Oryctolagus cuniculus: one gene and its partners. The protein of the gene in region 3 binds, or shares a complex with, the protein of the main gene of each other region. Links are inferred from orthologs where the notes say so. Each region holds a gene or a part of one and is shown on either strand. Other genes may lie near its edges.

Evidence for each region. The genes of interacting proteins can lie anywhere in the genome.
Region 1: the proteins of cyclin-A2 (region 3) and CDC6 are in contact, whole or in part, in a crystal structure (PDB 2CCH), measured with the Homo sapiens proteins. The link is inferred for Oryctolagus cuniculus from reciprocal best matches to the Homo sapiens genes CCNA2 and CDC6. Residues at the interface, in NP_001228.2 of Homo sapiens: Met210, Ile213, Leu214, Trp217, Glu220, Val221, Glu224, Tyr225, Arg250, Leu253, Gln254, Glu277, Tyr280, Ile281, Thr282, Asp283, Thr285; in NP_001245.1 of Homo sapiens: His89, Thr90, Leu91, Lys92, Gly93, Arg94, Arg95, Leu96, Val97, Phe98, Asp99, Asn100.
Region 2: the proteins of cyclin-A2 (region 3) and GMNC are in contact, whole or in part, in a cryo-EM structure (PDB 9HIU), measured with the Homo sapiens proteins. The link is inferred for Oryctolagus cuniculus from reciprocal best matches to the Homo sapiens genes CCNA2 and GMNC. Residues at the interface, in NP_001228.2 of Homo sapiens: Met210, Ile213, Leu214, Asp216, Trp217, Glu220, Val221, Glu224, Arg250, Leu253, Gln254, Tyr280, Ile281, Thr282, Asp283, Thr285; in NP_001140158.1 of Homo sapiens: Asn165, Ala166, Lys167, Arg168, Asn169, Leu170, Ser171, Glu173, Phe174, Ala175.

The regions. Positions count from the first base shown.
Region 1 is NC_091448.1:22,183,941-22,187,940, forward strand, and holds the start of CDC6 (cell division control protein 6 homolog), read right to left. Parts: upstream 2,855-4,000; 5' UTR 1,040-2,854; exon of another isoform or gene 996-1,039; intron 967-995; exon of another isoform or gene 947-966; intron 387-946; 5' UTR 374-386; coding exon 196-373; intron 1-195. UniProt on the Homo sapiens protein: Involved in the initiation of DNA replication. Also participates in checkpoint controls that ensure DNA replication is completed before mitosis is initiated.
Region 2 is NC_091435.1:88,641,332-88,645,684, forward strand, and holds the start of GMNC (geminin coiled-coil domain-containing protein 1), read left to right. Parts: upstream 1-1,499; 5' UTR 1,500-1,837; coding exon 1,838-1,840; intron 1,841-3,453; coding exon 3,454-3,628; intron 3,629-4,353. UniProt on the Homo sapiens protein: Regulator of DNA replication. Promotes initiation of chromosomal DNA replication by mediating TOPBP1- and CDK2-dependent recruitment of CDC45L onto replication origins.
Region 3 is NC_091435.1:65,355,078-65,359,013, forward strand, and holds cyclin-A2, read right to left. Parts: upstream 2,586-3,936; coding exon 1,728-2,585; 3' UTR 548-1,727; downstream 1-547. UniProt on the Homo sapiens protein: Cyclin which controls both the G1/S and the G2/M transition phases of the cell cycle. Functions through the formation of specific serine/threonine protein kinase holoenzyme complexes with the cyclin-dependent protein kinases CDK1 or CDK2.

The DNA of each region.
Region 1 (4,000 bases), on a different chromosome or scaffold from region 3:
ATTAAGTAGTTTAGGAAGTGATCTCAATGAGTGGCTTAACCCTGTAGTTCAGTAAGCACTTAGCAAATATTCTGGAAATCACTAAAATGAACACAGTAGTCTTAACTGAAAAAGCTCCTTTGAAGGACAGGCATCTTATCACTGAGAAAAAGGTTGAGGGCTACCAGTCCAAGAGGTGCACTTATCTAAACTTACCCAGACGTTTTCTGGGGCTCAGAGGCAGAATTTTTGTGCAAGGAGAAGAGGGCAGAGTGTGCGCATTTGCTGGTTCTACTTTGACGTCACCAGGGTTTTTACTTTTGTCTACTGTCCGAGAAAACTTCTTCTTTGGAAAACTGATTTTAGCCTGTGCCTGGGATCGGGTTTGAGGCATGATGGCAATACTGCTAGAGACAAAAAAAAGAACACGTCAGCCAGTGAACATGTGAAAAGGAAAAATACCTAACCCTGAGTTCGCTTATACCGATGATCAGCACTCATTTCAGAAGCAAACAATGTTATGAAAACGTTCAGTTCTGCTCCACATCCCAGCCTGTGTGGTAACAGCTACCCTGTGTTGTGTAACACGTTGTCATGCATTCCTTACGTACTAACTCGCTCGCCGAGGGGTAGGCCCTATTATCATCCTCATCCAGCAGATAAGAAATGAGGTGCACAGAAGCCCAAGTGGCCGAAAAGTCCGACACGCACGGAACCCCGGGATTCCGGCCCCGGTGGCCCACAGCCGCCGCCGCCGCCGCACGGTCTCCGGAGCCCTCGCACCGCCGCTCGTCCGTCCGCCTTCAGCCCCCTCTCACCCTGCTCTCAGCCGCAGCCGGGAACTTTTCCTGTCCGCAGCTTCAGCTCCCTCACACCACGCACAACTGCTAGAGCCACTTCGAGGGTGCACCGCCCCGCCCCGGCCCCGACTTCGGATCTCCCGCGATCTCCCTTCCCTTCCCCTCACTGTTTCTCGGGTCTCGCGGAAACCTCAACCTTCGCGCAGCTCCCCAGACCTCAGTCTCCCGAGCAATCTTCTCCTCTCTCAGGGCTGCGTCACCTCAGTGCAGGTTCCTCACGTCCCTCACACACCGCCTCAGACTCCACCACCGTTCCCGGCCAAACCGAACACCAGCAGGCAGCAAAATACAGACGCGCTCGCGCCAAATTCGCTCAGCTACACCGTTCCCGTCTCCCGCCAAAGCCCGGCTACGCCTTTGATTGGCTGCAGCCACAGCGCCGCGCGCATTGGCCTCCGCCTCTTCCTTCGTTATCCAAGCCAATCAGAAACATCACAGCCAATAAGAGCGCCCCAGGTCTCAGGCCGAGAGGCCACGCCCACTAAGAAGGCCCGGCACGTACATCCGGGGCTTCCGCGGAAACCGCGCAGTTGCGGTGGGACGCTAGGCGTTGGGCGGGACCACCACGCCGCAAAGCCCGCCGGGAGGGGTAGTCTTTGCTTGGGGCACTGTACTTCCGCGCTGTGCGCACGGGAGGAGTCAATGTGGTTGTCCCTGCTCACCTACGCCTTCTATTTTGGGGGTGGTTCTGAGCTGAGGCATGACTCCTCTCTAACGCTCCACCCTACAAGGCACGAAGCAAATCCTGTGCTCTGGGTTAGAGGTCACAGCATGTTGGTAGCAGGGGCTGCCTAAGACTGGGATCTCCCGACATCTGAACGAGTGCTTTTTTGGTAAAGTTCTATATAAAGAACATACTAGACTTCATCACTACATCTTTTGACTTCAAATGTGGTAAATGGGACTCTTTGCTTTTATTTAAAGAAAATTTGTGTTAGATTTTCTGTATTATTTAACCACCACTTAATTGTGGGAAGTAAAATTATGGCTCCTTATTCTTAAAACCTTTTATGGCTAAACACTAGGGTTTCAGGGCCAAGAAAGACAATTACAGAAGAGGCAAGCTGAGCTTTTAATGAAAAATCTAAATTAGAGCAGTAATTTGTAGGCCAGCTTTCACAGCTAATAACCCTTCTAAATCTCAAACTCCTTTAAAAGCGAGAAAACCCAACTCTAGGTGATGGTAAACATTTATCTTTTATCCTTCAATATCAGATAAAATAGCTATAAAACCGGGAAATAGGAAGGCAACAATATTAAAACCATCAGTCGACTGTACTTATAGTACAGCCAATATCGAGTGCTTACATGTATTCCAGGGACAGAGCTCAGTATGTGGATCCACCACCTCATGAATCTTCACAAGCACCCTACGAAGTTGATGTTATTTCATTTAACAAACGAGGAAACCAAAGCAGAGCGAAGAAACCATGTAGATTTGAGTAAACTTGCCTGAGAACATAAAATTAATAACTAAAATTTGAACTCTTAAGTTCTGATGGGAATTCAAATTCTTAACCACTTAATCATAAGGAGAGCATTAGACAAATGCAGGTTTTGAAGAGGAAGAGACGGAGTACATTTTGCGACGGCTTCCCGGCAGATGAAAACTATGCAAGTGAAAAGTGATTAGGCTGCCATGAATAGAAAAAGCTACCATAGAATTTTTGTCTTTTAGGCTTTTCTAAAAAAATTTTTTTTAATTTGTAAGGCAGGGTGATGAGAGAGATATCAACCTTCCACCTGCTGGTTTACTCCCCAAATGGCCCCAACAGCCAGGCTGGACCAGGCTGAAGCCAGGAGCCTGGAATTTCATCTTGGTCTCCCACATGGGTGGCAGGGATCCATGTACATGGGTCACCTTCCACTGCTTTTGTAGGCAGGAAGCTGGATCAGAAGTGGAGCAGCTGAAACTCCAACTGTGCCCCTATGGGATGCAGTGTTGTAGATAGTAGCTGAAGGCATTGTACCACTAAGCCAGGCCCTTAACCCTTAAGGTTTTTTTTTTTTTTTTTTTTTTTTTTTTCTTAATAGGACAATAGAACCCAGGAAGTAGTTTTCACTTTTCTAAGCTGGGACCCTAAAAACTGTCCTTGATAACCTGAAACAGTAATGTATGCCCAACCCATGTTAAGGGTTGGTGGCAGTGAACAGCCTACCTCATTATGGGGGTGGGAGGAGCACAGGAATTTAAAACTTACCACACATATTTGAACCTATGAAAATGCCAGGGACTACAGCACTGGCCCAAACCCTGCAAGAGTAAATGACCACTGACAGAGCACAGAACCACAGAAAGGTCTGAGCAGTTATCCACTGGAAGCTTTCTTTCCACAACTGACCCTCCAATGACATGATGTGCACATCATCATGCTGTTACTTCTGTGCTTTTTGATGTTTCCTGCCTAGGATGTCACCATCCTTCTTTGGTTAACTCCCAATAAAAGCCTTTTAATCCACCATATGTTTCTCCTTGTAGCGATCCTGAAATCTATTCAACCATGAGCTTCTTGGAGGCAAAGATCATGTCTTACTCTTCAAATTGTAGGTACCTGGTACAGTGTAAAGTATACAATAAACATAAATGCCATCCTTTGAATCTCACACCCCTACATCTAGAAGTGGAAATGAGTTCTGTGTAAAATGTTTCAGACTGAGGCAAGGTCTGGGGTAGTTGGGATCCTGAAGTTGACATTTTAGTCCCTTCCCTTTTTAAAGATTTATTTATTTTATTTGAAAGAAAGCAAGACACAGAGAGAAATATCTTCCATCCACTGGTTCACTCCCCAAATGGCTGCAACAGCTGAGGCTAGGCCACGAACTCCATTTGATCTCCCATGTAGGTGGCAGGAACCTAAGTACTTGGGTCATCATTAGCTGCCTCCCAGGTGCCTTGGCAGGAAGGTCCACTGGAAGCAGAGTGGCCGGGACTCACAACGAGGCACCTCAATACAGGATGGAGGCATCCCAAGTGGCAGCTTAACCTGCTACATCACAACACCCGCCCCTACATTTCAGTTCGTTAGCCTCTGTCTGCAGAGTATGATGATGTCAAAGACATGCAACTTCCTCCCAGTGAGTCAGAGTTCATGGCTGGAATGGGTGTGAAATACTTAAGAGGCACATTCACGGAAAGCAGTTGTGCTTCAGTAGTAATTAGA
Region 2 (4,353 bases), about 23 Mb from region 3:
TCATGGAAAAAAGAACTATTTGTGAATTTTAACATTTTTGTGATAATATAAACTTATCCTTTGACTAACTTTCCATGAACTTTTTGAAGTACTCATATTCGTTTGTCAGAGCTACCATGACACAAATACCACAGATTGGGTTGTCTTAACAGAAATTAATTGTCTTGCAATTCTGGAGAATGGAAATCCATGAGAAAGTGAAAAAGGTGTTAGCAGGGTTGTTGGCTCCTCCTGAAGCTTTGTGTTACCAGCCCAAAGGATGCCTTCAGCCTGTTTCCTCATATGGCTTTTGGGTGTGTCATCCCTGAGGTACCTTCATCCACTCATAAGAACACCAGTCTCATTGGGTTTTGGATCCACCTTATTGCCTCATTTAAGCTTTGTTACTTCTTTAAATGCCCCATCTCCAAATGCAGTGACACTGGGTTTGGAGATTCAACATATGAATTTGAGAGGAAATTAAACTCAGTCTGTAAAAATGCCTATTTCCTAAATGGCTATCATGCTCAGTGTAAAAAATCCAGAGTCAAAAACCATATACATGCTAGTTAGGAGAATGTATGCGATAGTCAGAGGATCAAATGCTAAATCTGTCACTGCCTAATTGTGTAGAGATTCATCAATTTTCCTAACTTCAGTGCCTCATTCCCTATCTGGTGTGACAGGGACAGTAAGAGTGCCTGCCTCCCAGGGTCATTGCCAAATGCCCATCAAGTTGGTAAGTTGAAATAAGAATTGCCTATTATTGGTGGATGTGTGGTTTTAAAGATAGTGTTACTCTTCTTTATTTTCTACATATAACAGGATGGGATATGTTGTGAGAATAAAATGTAACAAAAAAGATAGAGAAAATAAAATATTTTGAGAAATGCTAATATATGCTACTTTTTCTTAATTAGATTATCTTAGGTGATAGTAGTTGCAAAGGTAGCCTCCATATAAAGAAAGATATTCTATATTCTTAAATTTGTAACTTAATTCATTCTTACCAAAAAAAAGTCAAAATCTTTATTGAGCACTTACCGTGTGTCCAAGATTGTTCCCCAAGGTGTTGGGGAGCTCAGTGAACAGATAGCCTTTCTCCTGAAGCTTACCTCATAGAACTCAAATATGTCAGGTTCCCATTTAGCACCCACTTCAGGAATTGGGGAAAATATGACCTACCCTATGGAGGGGGAGAGGAATATTCATTTGGAGCATTATACTGCAAGTTGAAATTGATTTATCACGTGGTCAGAAAATACACAGACGCAAAACTAACACTGGGGTCCGTTGGGTGGAATCCCGCAGTGATCGCCCTGATCCCCAAGAAGCCAGTTTGGGCTTTTCCTGACCCTACTCCCAGGCATCAGGGCCAACCTGCCATTCAGTCCTTCATAGCGGCTGCAGGGGAGGCACTGGAGGGAGCTCAGGGCCGCCGGGTTGGGCGGGCTGCGCGGTCACCGCCGCCGCCGACGCCCATCGCCGGGTAAACTATGAGAGTGCACAGGTGCGGGTTTGGAAGCGTCGTTGCGCACCCGGATGCTGGGCGCCGCGGACCCTGCCTCTGCTCCACAGCCAGGAGCCCTGACCCGCAATTCCAGCGCGGTGGTCTCCCTCAGCACGAATGACTTTGGCTTCTGTTGGGTGTCTCCTGACCCACGTCACCAGTTTGACAGCCTAGCGCCAAATCAGAGGGCGGCGCTTGCCCGGAGTCCCGCGCGTCACCTGGAGCTCCCACAGATTAGAACTCGTCTCTCCTAGGTCCTCCCGCTCGGTCCCATTTACATCTCCCACTGGCTTTAACGCAACAGTTAAGAGCGGGCTCAGTTTGTGCCGCGTCTTCTTCCACTGCAACATGGTAAGTGAGGAGCTGGCATTAGCTAGTCCCTGGGGAAACCTGGGGCCTCTGAAAGCTAATAAACTTTGCTTTTAGAATTTATTTCACTTTGAGAGCAAGGTATCTCTGCTACCTGCTGCTTCAAACAGGTCTTGTGCTGCTCCGCTGGCTTTTACTGTCCTTCCTCTTCCCTCTGTCTCTCATCGTTTTACCCTCTCTGCTTCTTGTACATTCCGTACTTTTTCCCCCCACTTTTCACTTTCCACCTGCACTCACTTTTCATTCCAGCTCTTCCTCTATATTATGCACATATTTGCAAACACTTGGACTTGAACTACTCTAGGAGTATTTAGGGTTTGTTTTCTTCTCAGGTGTCAATTGCATAATAGCTTAACTGATTCCAATAATAACCTCAGGGAAGGAGTCTGCAAACATGCTTTTAGAATAAAAGAAAATACCTCTTGATAAACTTTTGGCTGAATTTCTTCGGTATGCAGTGCCCAAGCTGGACTGGCTTCAAAATTGGACTTTTTGAAAATTTAACTCATTGGGAACTTTTAAAAACTGTGATTTAATTGACAATATTTTTTTCCTCTTCTTTTTTGTTTCTTCGATTTATGTTATTCCCAAGAAAAGTCCAAAAATCAACAAAAGACTTGTAGTGGTCAAAAAAGGTGTGTTCAAAACTAGGCTCTGCTGAAGTGAATGGCTTTTACCTGACTAAACATTGACAAATAATTAAGAATGGGCTGTTGTACAGATTAACCCAGGACTGCTGTGTACCTGCCCCTACTTGCACATTTGGGAAGACTGTGTTTGAGGTTTGAGAAGAGGGACAGGAGGGTGTTCAGTGGATCAGAAAGAAGTGGATAATACATGCCAGTCTGTTAGCTGTGGTGATATAACTTTGGAAGGGCATTGGGCCCTAGTGAAGTAGACAGCTAGCACTTGCGGACATCTGACTTCCTTCAGCTTTGATTATGTGCTTACTTGGAGTGACTTTATGCCCCCTGTACTTGGATTTGGAGTTGGGAGGAGAAAATATAGACATATTTGTATCAGAGGTAGATCCAGTAGTATGTTGGGTGGAGAAAGGAAGAAGAGAAGAATCACACAAGTTAGTAAGTATATGGTTCAGCAACTAAAATGAGGAGGTTAGTCTATATGATGTTATGTCTTGTCCATTTTATCCTTGGGAATCTGGGTTCCTTTTTAGTCAAGGTTACTATAAATATAATTGAGATATTTAGGAGAGAACAAGTCATGTGTCTTTAAATCGTTAGTAGAATTCTTTTGTCTTCGCTTGTGGATAACCTGTTAGGTGAGCGAGGCATCACAACAAAGAATCTTCTTAGATATTTACACATGTGGTCATTCCAATACCAGTCTGCTCTTTGCTCATAGGGCATTAGAAAGTATTGGGTAAACTGAGGAGCTGATCCCACTTAGTGGTTTTACTTTGACAACTCAAAAATTGATCCAAATCTGCACTTAATGCTTTCACTGTTTTTTTTTTTTTTTTTTTTTTTGATTCACTGTATGTAATTTCTCCATGTTTCTCCCACCCTTTTCCCCATCACCTTATCTCCTGGGACCCCCACCCTCACAACCACTACTCATACTGATTTTCACAGAACACCATTCTACCTTGCCAAGATCAGTACTTTGTAGGAGGCCAGAGCTATAATTGCCCGTATTCCGCTACAACGTCAGAATCTAGTGTTGACGTTTCCACGGAGACTTGGGTCTCTTTCTGGGCTGCTGGTCTCCTGGACAACAGAGAGCCCCAACAAGCACCACAGGCACAGGGTAAGTTGTGCTCTTCTACTTTCCTCATAGATCTGGAGCCTTTTCCAGTGCCCGTAACTGCAATGCATCATGGGCTATGGATCCTGTAGAAGAAGGGATGATATGGAAAATTTAAGTCAGTTCATAGCCTCCTGAACTTCGCAGCTATAAATATGATTGTTTGTTCTTGACAATGAATAAAAATGGGATTCTATCCCTTGGCTTGCTAGAACACCATGTATTTTTCTCTATATTTTAAAATTCTTGGGGATTCCCAATTCACTGAGGGAGTTTGGGTCTGGGTCAAAGTTTTATAAACAGTACCTAACAGGGTGATTTTAGAGTGAATATATTAGTTGGAGCATTTTTAAGGTGAATTCAAGAAAGTTATTTTTTTTTAAATAGAGAAAACCAAGAACAAAGCCAAGCTTCATCTACTATTTTACAAAGGAAATTCTATGAACAGCTCCTTGTAAATGAAAAAATAAAATGATTCCTCTTCATAGAAAAATCATTTCAAGTTTGAAGGGATGTATAAATTGATGGGAATTTACATACACTGTTAATTCTGACCTGTTGCCTAGGGAAATATACTTGTAAGCTTTCATAGAATTTCTGTCTTAACAATCAGGTTTTTGGAAAAGTTTTCAGGTGCCTCAGAAATAAACATTGGTATTATTGATTCCACATGATTTCTTGGGAGAAGGCTCTAAGAAAAGACACAAAAATTCCTCCCGAATATTGAA
Region 3 (3,936 bases):
CAGGATATTATGAATGCTATGGATATTATATCTTTTGCTATGGTTTCAAATTTTCCTATTATTTTTTCTTTTATATTTTTGTTAAAATTGGTTCTTTTTTTTCCTAAAATATTTATTCATTTATTTATTCTATTGGCAGAGTGACAGAGAGAGTGAGTCTCCCTCTCTCTGTGTCTCTCTCTCTCTCAGATCTACACACACACACACACCCACACACACAGCAAGAGCAAGAAATATATATAGGGATCTTTCATCCACTAGTTTATTCATCAAATGGTCAAAATATTCAGAGTTGGGCTAGGGCAAAGCCAGGAGCCAGGAATTCATCATGTTTTCCAATGGGTGGCAGGTACCTAAGTCCTTGGGTCATCATCCACTGCATTCCTAGGAACATTAACAGGGAGCTGGATTGGAAGAACAGCAGCTGGAACTTGAACCTACACTTTGATATGAGATGCTAGCATTGTAAGTTGTCGCTTAATATGTTGTGCCACAATGCTAGTTCCATGTAGGTAATTTTTCTATTGATTTGTTTTCCAATTCACTATTTTTTTTTTAAGGTAACAAGTTTTTGGTTTATTTCAAACATGTACATGTAACTTAAGAGTTTGAGGCTTGCTCTCTGGTTTGACTCTCATCTTACAGAACTGTTATACACAGACATCCCTTTTTCATCAGCTATTATGTGTTTTTTTCACCCTGTAATTAATAAAAATTAGCACCTAACTCTCTATTAAACTATTTTTGGATACCTTTCAGGGTTACTGTATTTACTTTTCCTGCTGTCACATTTTGTACCCTAGTGCAAAAAAATAAAAGACCTCCTATTTCAGTGATCCAAAACTTAAGCATAATTAAGTGAACTGTTAATTTATTTTACTTTATCCGCAGAACACAGACCACCATTGGGAAACAAGAAAAAGCACCAAGTAAAAAGCCAATGAAAAAGAGAAAAAAGAAGAGAGCTGCTAATTAAAGCTAACATAGTTGTATATTTGTATATATAACTATTAGATGTATTTATTCAGTGCTAACAACCTGGGTATCATTTATTCACAAATCCCTAAGTTTTATTTTTTTAACATTAAAGTGAATGTTCTAGAGCTTTTTCTCTGAAAATTTTGTCATCTCAAAGCCTTATTCCCCAACCTGTGTATGTGTAAAGTGTAAAAATTGATGAGGAATAAAATAATCTGATAGGCTGCTGTGTGTGTACAAAGAAGAATGATTTTCATCGTACTGGTAAATAAGCACAGATTTATTGTGCAGAAATCGGCAGACTGATCCAGTTGCTTAGGAAAATGGATATTAGAACATTGAGGGTCTGTTTTCCTAAAGTCAACTTTTTAGAGAGTGGCTTTCCACTCCCCACTGTACTGTATAAGCCAGGTAACTTTTCTAAGAAATCTTGAAGTCAGGTTTTTATCTCAAATTAAATTTGACTTATAAAATTTTCCAAATCAATTTATTAATTCTTAATATCCTGACAGCTGGCATCATTAATACTTTTAACAAAACCACTTAAAATTAGCCAAATATCTATGATAGATACATGTACAAAAGATATACAAATTAAAACCATTTAAAAAGTAATAGATACCATAATTTGTTCTTGTCCATAACTTCTGTATTCAGAAATGATTGTAACATTCAAAACCCAAGATAAAAACTGTACACAATATACTTTGAGTGATTTACATCTTAGAAACAAATGCAGTCTTTCACTGTTAGACATTTAGTGTCTCTGGTGGGTTGAGGAGGGAAACACCATGATACTTTGAATTTTTGTACTTTTCTCTTATTGATTGTTGTGCATGCTGTGGTGCTTTGAGGTAGGTCTGGTGAAGGTCCATGAGACAAGGCTTAAGAGTCTCCAGAGTGTATCCAGTCTTTCGTACTAATGATTCAGGCCAGCTTTGTCCCGTGACTGTGTAGAGTGCTAAATGAAATGCTGCTCCAGCAATAACTGATGGCAGATACTTTAGGTATGGGTCAGCATCTATCAAACTTAATTCTCCCAAAAACATTGCTAAACTTTCGACTTTGCAGTTTGCAGGCTGCTGATGTAGAAAGTATTGGGTAAGAAACTGATTTACCGTTGGTGCAGCTAAGTCAAAAGCAAGGACTTTCAAAACTAGATGCTCCATTCTCAGAACTTGTTTCTTTGTATAGGTATCATCTGTAATGTATACAAACTCTGCTACTTCTGGTGGGTATATTTCTTCAAATTTTGAGGCTAGCAGCATAGCAGCAGTGCCCACAAGCTGAAGCTTTCCTCTCAACACAGACATTGAAGAAAGAAACCTATCGATGTAGTTCACCGCCAAATGCAGAGTCTCATTCTGTAGTTTATATTCCTCTCCTACTTCAACTAACCAGTCCACGAGGATAGCCCTCATACTGTTAGTGATGTCAGGCTGTTTCTTCATGTAACCCACTTTAGGTTTACATTTAACCTCCATTTCCCTAAGATATGTGTGAATATCCTCATGGTAGTCTGGGACTTCATTAACACTCACTGGCTTTTCATCTTCTAATACAATTGACATGTCCATAGTATATGGTGACTCGAAACTACCATCCATTGGCTAATCAAGAGGTACCAGTGGTTTTCTTTGTCCAGGTAAAGTGATGGCTGAATTAAAAGCCAGGACATCTTCAGGCTTGTCTTTTTTAGATTCCGTGGGCCTCTTGGGAGGCTCCTCTTCTGCTTCATCCACATGAATGGTGAATGCAGGCTGTTTACTGTTTGCTTTCCAAGGAGGAACAGAGACCTGCTCATCATTTATAGGAAGATCCTTAAGAGGTGCAACCCGTCGCGTCGTGGGCCTCTGTTGTGGAACTGGACCCCGGGAGTTCCCAGCCTTCAGTACCACCAGAGCAGCCTGGGCCCGCGGCTGCTGGGCGTGCACCGCCTTCTCGGGGTTGATGTTCTCCTGGTCCTCTAGGAGCGCCGAGCCCGCCTCGCCGGCCGCGGGCTTCGGCACGTTGTGGCCCAACATCGTTGCTCCAGGGAGCTGGCGGCGGGATCAGTCTGCCGAGCCAAGCAGCGTGCACACTCCGCCCAGTCGACCAGCGGCGCCGATCCCGCCCAGGAACGCTCCAGCCGTAGCCCCTCGCCGCAGCCCGGGCCAGTCTGCCAGCCCTCCCGCTCGCTCCCCTGTCTCCGGAACGCGCAGGATCGAGGAGGTTGCGAGAGGCGCAGGCAAACGCTGCCGGGCGCGGAGGGCAAAAAAAAATCCAATTCACTATTGCTTCCTCTTTCTCTCCCATTCCACTGTTGAGCCCATTCATGGAGTTTTCAAAATATTAGTTATTGAATATTTTATTTCAAAATATATTTTCTTCTTTATATATTCTTTTCTTTGGCTAAAACTTTATGTTTTTTATATTTGTTCCAAGTATATTCATGATTATTGTGGAAGTATTTTTATTGTAGAGTCTACAAAATCCTTGTTAGACAACCCTGAGTGTCAACATCTTTAGATCATGTTTTCTCACTCTAATTGAGAATAGCCTAGTTTTCCTTTTAACATAAGTGATTATTAAAATTAAATTCTTGATATATTAGTGATTAATATTGTGAGACATTTGATCTCATTTAAATATTTGATATGGCAGGATCCTATGACGCTACTCCAATGGGGAAAGGACATCATCTTATTATCAGCAGCTTGGCCTCCATTGACACTGGGGAAGGGGTACTCTTTATAAGTGTGGGGCAGTAGTAGAAGACAAGACTCTCCACTATGTACCTACTAATACTACTCAGGCTGGATGTGGAAGAATTGCCTCATTACTGATCCCCATGTGGCTTCTCTGACACTTTCAGGGGATGGTTTGCCTTGTTACTTTTAAGATTAGCTGAAGTCGTAACTCTGTATTTGGTCTTCTCGGACATCCATCCAGCAGGGAAGGAGAGGGGCACCTCAAAAT